Linked DNA regions of Rattus norvegicus. The main gene of each other region encodes a partner of the protein of the gene in region 2 in a complex. Links are inferred from orthologs where the notes say so. Each region holds a gene or a part of one and is shown on either strand. Other genes may lie near its edges.

Region 1 (3,081 bases), on a different chromosome or scaffold from region 2:
CCACAGGGCCCTCGTCATTGCTTAGGTGAGCACTTAGGCACTTGTACTTAGACCCATTGGCATGGGGATTTTCGTTTTAAGACAGTCTGTGTAGTCTTGGCTGACCTAGAGCTCAATAGATAGGCCAAGTTGGCCTCGAATTCAGAGATCCTCCTGCCTGAGTGCTGGGATCAAAGGTGCGTGCCACCGTGCTTGGGACTTATGGCATGCCAACCAGAGGGTGAACCGCATCCATGTTCTCTCAACATTTAGGCCAAGTCAGAACTTAAAGAAGCCATCGATCGGTATGTGCAAGAGAAGATTGTGCTTGCATCTCAGGCAATTTCACGATTTGCTTCTAAGAAGATCAGTGATGGGGACGTGATCCTAGTATATGGATGGTACGGTCAACACCTGACAGAAAACTAGGGAGGGGGACAGCAGAAGAAAGGTCTGCCCTTGCCTTTGCAAACAGGCTGCTTTATAACAAACATCTCTTCTCCCTCCATATCAAGCTCATCTCTGGTGTCGAGAATTCTCCAGGAGGCCTGGGTTGAGGGCAGGCGCTTCCGGGTGGTGGTGGTAGACAGCCGGCCCCGGCTGGAGGGAAGGCATATGCTCCACTGTCTGGTCCGTGCTGGGGTCCCTACCTCCTATCTGCTGATTCCTGCGGCCTCCTATGTGCTCCCAGAGGTGAGCATTCTCACAGGAAAGCAACTCTAGACATAAAAGAGACGGATATAGTAACACCAACTTAATAGTCTTACCTTTGTTCCTTTTTTTTTTTTTTATTGAGGCGGGGAATAAGGGAATAAGGTGGTGGAGTAGGGAAAGGCAGTGTGCCCCAGTTCCCATGTGGAAGTCAGGACACCATCAGAAGTCAGTTCTTTCTCTTCTTTCTTTTTTCTTTCTTTCTTTTTTTTTTTTTGTTTGTTTTTTATTGGTTTTTAGAGACAAGGTTTCTCTGTAGTCCTGGCTGTTCTAGAGCTCAATTTGTAGACCAGGCTGGCCTTGAACTCACAGAGATTCACCTGCCACCATACCAGGCTGAGGCAGATCTTTCTTTCCACCATTTATGTCCTGAGGCTGGAACTCAGAAATCCAGGCTTCACAGTGACTTTACCCAGTGAGCCACCTCAGTGGCCCTTACTCATTTCATTCATGTATTTGTTTGTTTGTTTATATTTTGGGGAGAAAGGGTTCTCTGTGTAGCTTTTTTTGGAGGGGAGGAGGAGAATCAAGGTCTCATTGTGTAGTCCTGGCTGGCCTGGAACCCACAGAGTTCTGCTTGTCTTTGCTTCCCAAGTCGTGGGATCAAAGGTGTGCACCATACCCAACACTTTTATCCTTAATAGGAAAAAGAAGCTAGCTTCTGGGTGTGGCATTCAGGAGCCCTAGACAGGTGATCTCTGAGTTTGAGGCCAGCCTGGTCTACAGAGTGAGTTCCAGGACAGCCAGGGCTACCCAGAGAAACGCTGTCTCAAAAAGCCAACAGAAATGGTTGGTGAAGTGGCTCAACTAGTGAAGAGCACTGGCTGCTCTTCTAGAGGTCGGGAGTTCAATTCCCAGCAGACGCATGGTAGCTCATGACCATCTGTAAGGTGATCCGATGCCCTCTTCTGGCATTTGGGTGTATATGCAGCAGAGCACTCATACAACAAATAAATATTAAAAAAAGGAAGAAAAGGGGGTTGGGGATTTAGCTCAGTGGTAGAGCGCTTGCCTAGGAAGTGCAAGGCCCTGGGTTCGGTCCCCAGCTCCGAAAAAAAGAACCAAAAAAAAAAAAAAAAAAAAGGAAGAAAAGGCAAAAGCATCTGCTATATGCAGTGCGGTAGTACAGGTTAGCTGTTACAAGAATTATATTAAAGTAGCAGCCATTAGTAGGAATGGACAGTTTCACTGTTCTGTTCTGGGATGATATAAGACAGCAAGGTATTTTCTAAGAGCAGCCAATGTAACCACATTGTTGCTTACTGTTGCTCTTCTGGGCAGGAGTGGGGAACTTTATTATATACTGATATAACAGGACATTTTCCCCTCATTTCCACATTGTCTAAAATAAACAGGTTTCTAAGGTGCTATTGGGAGCTCATGCACTCCTGGCCAATGGATCTGTGATGTCGAGGGTAGGGACAGCACAGTTGGCCCTGGTGGCCCGAGCTCATAATGTTCCAGTACTGGTCTGCTGTGAAACATACAAGTTCTGTGAACGCGTGCAGACCGATGCCTTTGTCTCCAACGAGCTAGGTAAGCAGAATAGAATGGAGGCTTTCGGGGACCTGAGGAAACTTGACACGGGAAGGGGAGGTTAACCACACCTTCTCTAGAAGGACTTTGACGCCCGCTTCTCTTTGCAGATGACCCTGACGATCTCCAGTGTAAGCGGGGAGACCAGGTGACCCTGGCGAACTGGCAGAACAACTCATCACTCCGGTTGTTGAATCTGGTCTATGACGTGACTCCCCCCGAGCTTGTGGATCTGGTGATCACAGAGTTGGGCATGATCCCTTGCAGTTCTGTGCCTGTTGTCCTCCGAGTCAAGAGTAGTGACCAATGAAAGGCATCAAGGGTCAATAAAAAACTTATTCCTTACTGCCATAACTCTGCTGCCTTTGTACCTCGTAAGTCAGGAACCCACACTCTGCGGCCTTCATCACCTACTTGAATCTGTCTATAGAAACCCTTCTAAAATGGTTAGCTCCAGGACAGTGCTTGGAACAAGATGGTTTGACTAGGCAACAGACCTATTCATAGGCCAAGCATGGTAGCGTTCCCAGAATTCTCCTTTAATCCCAGCAGGGGTAGCCAGTCTTTTAAACTTAAAGGCCAGCCTGGTCTCCATGTGAGTTCCAAGACAGCTAGGGTTATAGAGTGAGACTTTGTTTCAAAAGCAATTACTTTTGAGTTGGAGTTGGAGAGGTGGCTCAGTGGTTAAGAGCACTGGCTAAGGGAAGGTGTGGCAGGACAATGGAGGCTGATGTAAAGATTCTGCTCTGTGTATTTACAGGTTGTTATCAATGTTCCTTTTTTTTTTTTTTTTTTTTTTCCGGAGCTGGGGACCAAACCCAGGGCCTTGCGCTTCCTAGGCAAGCGCTCTACCAC
Region 2 (4,279 bases):
GCAGATCTCACTTCCTCCTGTCTCAGTCGGTGGTGGAAATATACACCCTTGGGTGACCTGTACTACATTGATTTAATTGAAATTTTTTTACTAACCTTTTCCCTCTTTGTACCGACGTTTTCAAAAGCAAATGTTGTTCTCACAGCACCCTCCTTAACTGAGCGAAGAAAGAAATAACAGGTTTCTGAGTTCCATGAGGAATCTAAACTGTAGAAACACAAACTAACCACTCTCTGTGGGGAGAGAGGGCATCTGGGGGAGGTGGGTGGAAGCAACAGAGGGAGTTGCTGAAACCTGCAGGCTGTGGGATTAGCAGAGGTTCTGGTGCTGAATGGGCACAGATTGCTTACAGGAATTTTTTGGCTTGACAGAATTACGCCCAGGCTGTGTGCCATTGCTTCCTCAGCCTTAAGCTTGATTTATAAACTGCGGCCACAGCTTCTTTTCCCGAAACCTGTTGCTCTGCTTCAGCGTCCAGCCTGAAAAGCTTGCTTACTACGCCCCAATCCTACAGTTTACTGCTGCTCTTAGATCCAGCCTCTTCTGTGATAACGCTTGTGGAACTAGGGAGTCAGATGAGCCCCAGCACCAGTCTTTCCACTCACTAGTTGGGCGTGCTTCCTTGGTCTGATTTAAATGTTTAAGAAATGCCCGTGCTTTAGGTCGTATTTCCAGAACGGGAGGAGGGAGGGGACACGGAGGAGGGAAGGGACACGACCTAGCCCATAATCCGCGGGTGCTCCGTAAAATTAACCGCTTGGGGTTGGGGATTTAGCTCAGTGGTAGAGCGCTTGCCTAGCAATCACAAGGCCCTGGGTTCGGTCCTCAGCTCCGAAAAAAAAAAAAAAAATTAACCGCTTGCCTCCACGTTCAGTATTTGGGCAGATCGTGGGTTCCCTCCCAAAGACGACAGATCCCCTTAGATGACTAGAATTGCAAGTGGAGAGCTACATTTAATTTTTAGATTTATGTGGAAGAGTGTTTTGCCAGCTTGTATGTATTCCACAGGCATGTGTCCAGTTGAAAGTGAGTTGGACACCACAGAATTGCAATTGTGCATAGTTGCTTGCCACCACGTGAGCGCTGGGCGCCGAAGTTGGATTCTCTGCAAGAGCAGTAAGTGCCCTTAACCGATGAGCGATTTCTCCAGCTCTGGGCAGGGAAGCTGCAGACTCCTGCCGGGCGATCACAAGCCTACTCAGCTCGCTGCCATCTTAGCTTGCCTAACTCAGCAGCACTCGCTGACCGAGTTTGACAACGGTGGGATCTCACCCCTCCGTGGTAAGTGCACCACCCAGTACCGCCAACTCCTACAAAACTAGCACGGTCTGCCACGCCCCGGCTCTGGCCTTGCACGGGGGTGGGTGGGGCCTGCTAGTATACACATGCGCACTCCTTCCTCTTTCTCTCCTTGCAATCACACCTTCGCGTTTTGACTGCGAGTCCTTTTTGTCCCCTACTGCGTGCGGTGTGGCTTCCCGGCGGACGTGCTGACTGCGAAGCAAAATGGCAGCCACTGCGGCGGTTCCCAGCGCTGTAGGCGGCCGAGCGAACAAACGCGGCGGCGGCTCCGGCGGCGGTGGAACCCAAGGTGCGGAGGAGGAGCCGCCGCCGCCCCTCCAGGCAGTTTTAGTGGCCGATAGCTTCGACCGCCGCTTCTTCCCCATCTCCAAGGACCAGCCTCGGGTGAGGACCCGGCACGCGAGCAACCTGCGGGCCTGGAGGGTAGCAGGGCTACAAGTTGCCACTGCAGCTTGCTAGTGAAGCGTGTTCTGAAAGTTACCATAAAGTTGAGTTTTTCTGGTTGAGAGAAAGTGGAGGGACTGACTGAAACCCCGGTGGCTGTCCGTCCAGATGAGTAGCTAGCAAATATGGATTCTCGCAGGGCTGTCTGCCCAGCCTTGAGAAGGATTGAGAGGGCTGTGTATAGAATCAGTGTTTGAGGGGGTTGGGGATTTAACTCAGTGGTAGAGCGCTTGCCTAGCAAGCGCAAGGCCCTGGGTTCGGTCCCCAGCTCCGAAAAAAAGAAAAGGAAAAAAAAAAATCAGTGTTTGAAAGAAGCCTTCCCAGGGGGATTTAGTAGCGCAAGGGGGCCTCCATTGCCTCTAACCTTGCAGGACATGGGCAATTTAAAAAATGCTTCAAAAAGCGATGGTAATATATACCTAAAGGGAAAAAGGCTAGATCTCGGCCTGGTACGGGCTCTTTTCCTCCCATCTGCTGCAAGGGGAACCGAGTGGGTTCCCCTCAGCCTTGGAACTACCTAGACATAGGACATTGGTATTGGGCTTGCAGACTGCTCGGTCCCTCAGCAAACAGGGATTTGCCTTTTACTTAAGAATTCCTAAGGCTAACGACTGTTCACTTTTGACAAGTGTTTGAATGATTTCTGTGACTCAGTGTCAATAGGAGGAAATTCTATGAGAAGAAGGTCTTAGTGCTTAGAGTTATAGAGCTATGATTTAGGGCCAACATTTGTCCTTAATGTCAGCCCTGGTTTCCTATAACATATTCTGTGTCTGATACCATGTCTACTAGGCCCAAATCTTAGACTGAACCTTTGGGCCTATTTGCTTTAGAATAAAAGGGTAAAGCAAACTGTAGTGTCTGCAAGCCCCGATGAAAGGCACATTGTTGCAGTGGGGTACCTGAAGTATAATAATGGCTTGAAGACCTCAGACTTTTTCATATCCTGCCCTATAGGTCCTATTGCCCCTGGCCAATGTCGCGCTGATCGACTATACTCTGGAATTCTTGACTGCCACGGGTGTACAGGAAACATTTGTCTTTTGCTGCTGGAAGGCTGCTCAGATCAAAGAACACTTACAGTAAGGCTCGGGAATTTTTCCTTTCCATGCTTCACCGTCTTTTTTCCAGTCCTTCCAGCATGGGTTTGACGAGGTAGAGACATGAGGAAAACTGCATCTGTTCTGAGCTCGTGTATGATTTAGTGTTTTCTTCACGTGTCCTGAGAGAAGCTGCTGGAGCTTTCTTTGCCTTGAGGTTTCAGTGATGGAAATCGAAAGGCTTGGCTATGATTTTCTGAGTCTTTCAAAGTTCGTTCCAGTGAGTTTTGCTTTTTATGTTCCAGTGGGTATGTTATTGGAAGAGCATCTTTATTTTCCCACTGAATTTCTAAACACTGTCTGTTCTGACCCCCCAGTGACAGGAACAAGTTCTTTCCCCTTGTCTCCCCCACTGCCCTCCTTAGTTTCAAGCCCACTGTAAGTTCTTAAGAGATGCTTGTTAAAATTTGGAAGAGCTAGTCTGGGAATTTATGAGTTTTGGAAGTAAAGACTAGTATACTGAACATGTTTTCCATGTTACCGTGCTTAAAGTTGATACAGACTCAGAACAAGAAAGATGACTTGAAAAAAAAAATGTGTTCCCAGAATACTTTCATAGCCTAGATTTCATAGGATTTTAAATTCAAACTCACATTTCAAGACGGGAGTCAAGGTATAGAAAGGAAATGGTCATACTTCTCAAACACATAAAACTAATGACACTGGAAGCCGAAACCATTTATTATGGTTCACGCGTCTCTTTGAAGCCAGAGACGCTGGCAGGAAGCCAGAGAAGCCACAGAGGAGTATAAATGCTGAATGGAGGTTAGAGGTCAGGTCTGTGATAGTCTGTTTACTTTATAGTTCCTCATCACTTTCCCACAGGAAATCCAAATGGTGCCATCCTACGTCCCTCAATGTTGTTCGAATAATCACATCAGACCTGTACCGATCACTAGGAGATGTCCTCCGTGATGTCGATGCCAAGGCCTTGGTGCGCTCTGATTTCCTCCTGATATATGGAGATGTCGTCTCAAATATCAATATTTCCAAAGCCCTGGAGGAACACAGGTCAGGTGGGGAAGACGGCAGGGACAAGACTTAGGGACCAGTTGAGTCCTAAGACTAACTCTGCCCCTCCTTCTTTATAGGTTAAGAAGGAAGCTAGAAAAAAATGTGTCTGTCATGACAATGGTGTTCAAAGAGTCCTCACCCAGTCACCCTACACGCTGCCATGAGGACAATGTGGTGCTAGCTGTGGATAGCACCACAAACAGGATTCTTCACTTCCAGAAGACCCAAGGCCTCCGCCATTTCTCCTTTCCTTTGGTAACTGGGTGTCTGGGGAACTCAGGTAGAAGAGGGAGGAGCTTCGAGAGGAGAGATGAGCTAAAGCCTTTGTAACTTCTCCCCTCAGGGCCTATTCCAGGGCAGTCTAGACGGAGTGGAGATTCGATATGACTTGTTGGATTGTCACATCAGCATCTGCTCTC

Evidence for each region. Proteins that work in one complex are often made in the same cells at the same time.
Region 1: the proteins of Eif2b5 (region 2) and Eif2b4 are in contact, whole or in part, in a cryo-EM structure (PDB 7D46), measured with the Homo sapiens proteins. The link is inferred for Rattus norvegicus from reciprocal best matches to the Homo sapiens genes EIF2B5 and EIF2B4. Residues at the interface, in NP_003898.2 of Homo sapiens: Arg163, Lys294, Arg339, His340, Glu357; in NP_001029288.1 of Homo sapiens: Arg357, Tyr393, Pro396, Glu397, Lys466, Arg467, Glu469.

What each region holds. Positions count from the first base shown.
Region 1 is NC_086024.1:30,906,224-30,909,304, forward strand, and holds the end of Eif2b4 (translation initiation factor eIF2B subunit delta), read left to right. Parts: intron 1-252; coding exon 253-380; intron 381-494; coding exon 495-672; intron 673-2,045; coding exon 2,046-2,226; intron 2,227-2,336; coding exon 2,337-2,536; 3' UTR 2,537-2,580; downstream 2,581-3,081. UniProt on the Homo sapiens protein: Acts as a component of the translation initiation factor 2B (eIF2B) complex, which catalyzes the exchange of GDP for GTP on eukaryotic initiation factor 2 (eIF2) gamma subunit.
Region 2 is NC_086029.1:93,905,992-93,910,270, reverse strand, and holds the start of Eif2b5 (translation initiation factor eIF2B subunit epsilon), read left to right. Parts: upstream 1-1,470; 5' UTR 1,471-1,506; coding exon 1,507-1,686; intron 1,687-2,703; coding exon 2,704-2,828; intron 2,829-3,671; coding exon 3,672-3,857; intron 3,858-3,937; coding exon 3,938-4,115; intron 4,116-4,203; coding exon 4,204-4,279. UniProt on the Homo sapiens protein: Acts as a component of the translation initiation factor 2B (eIF2B) complex, which catalyzes the exchange of GDP for GTP on eukaryotic initiation factor 2 (eIF2) gamma subunit.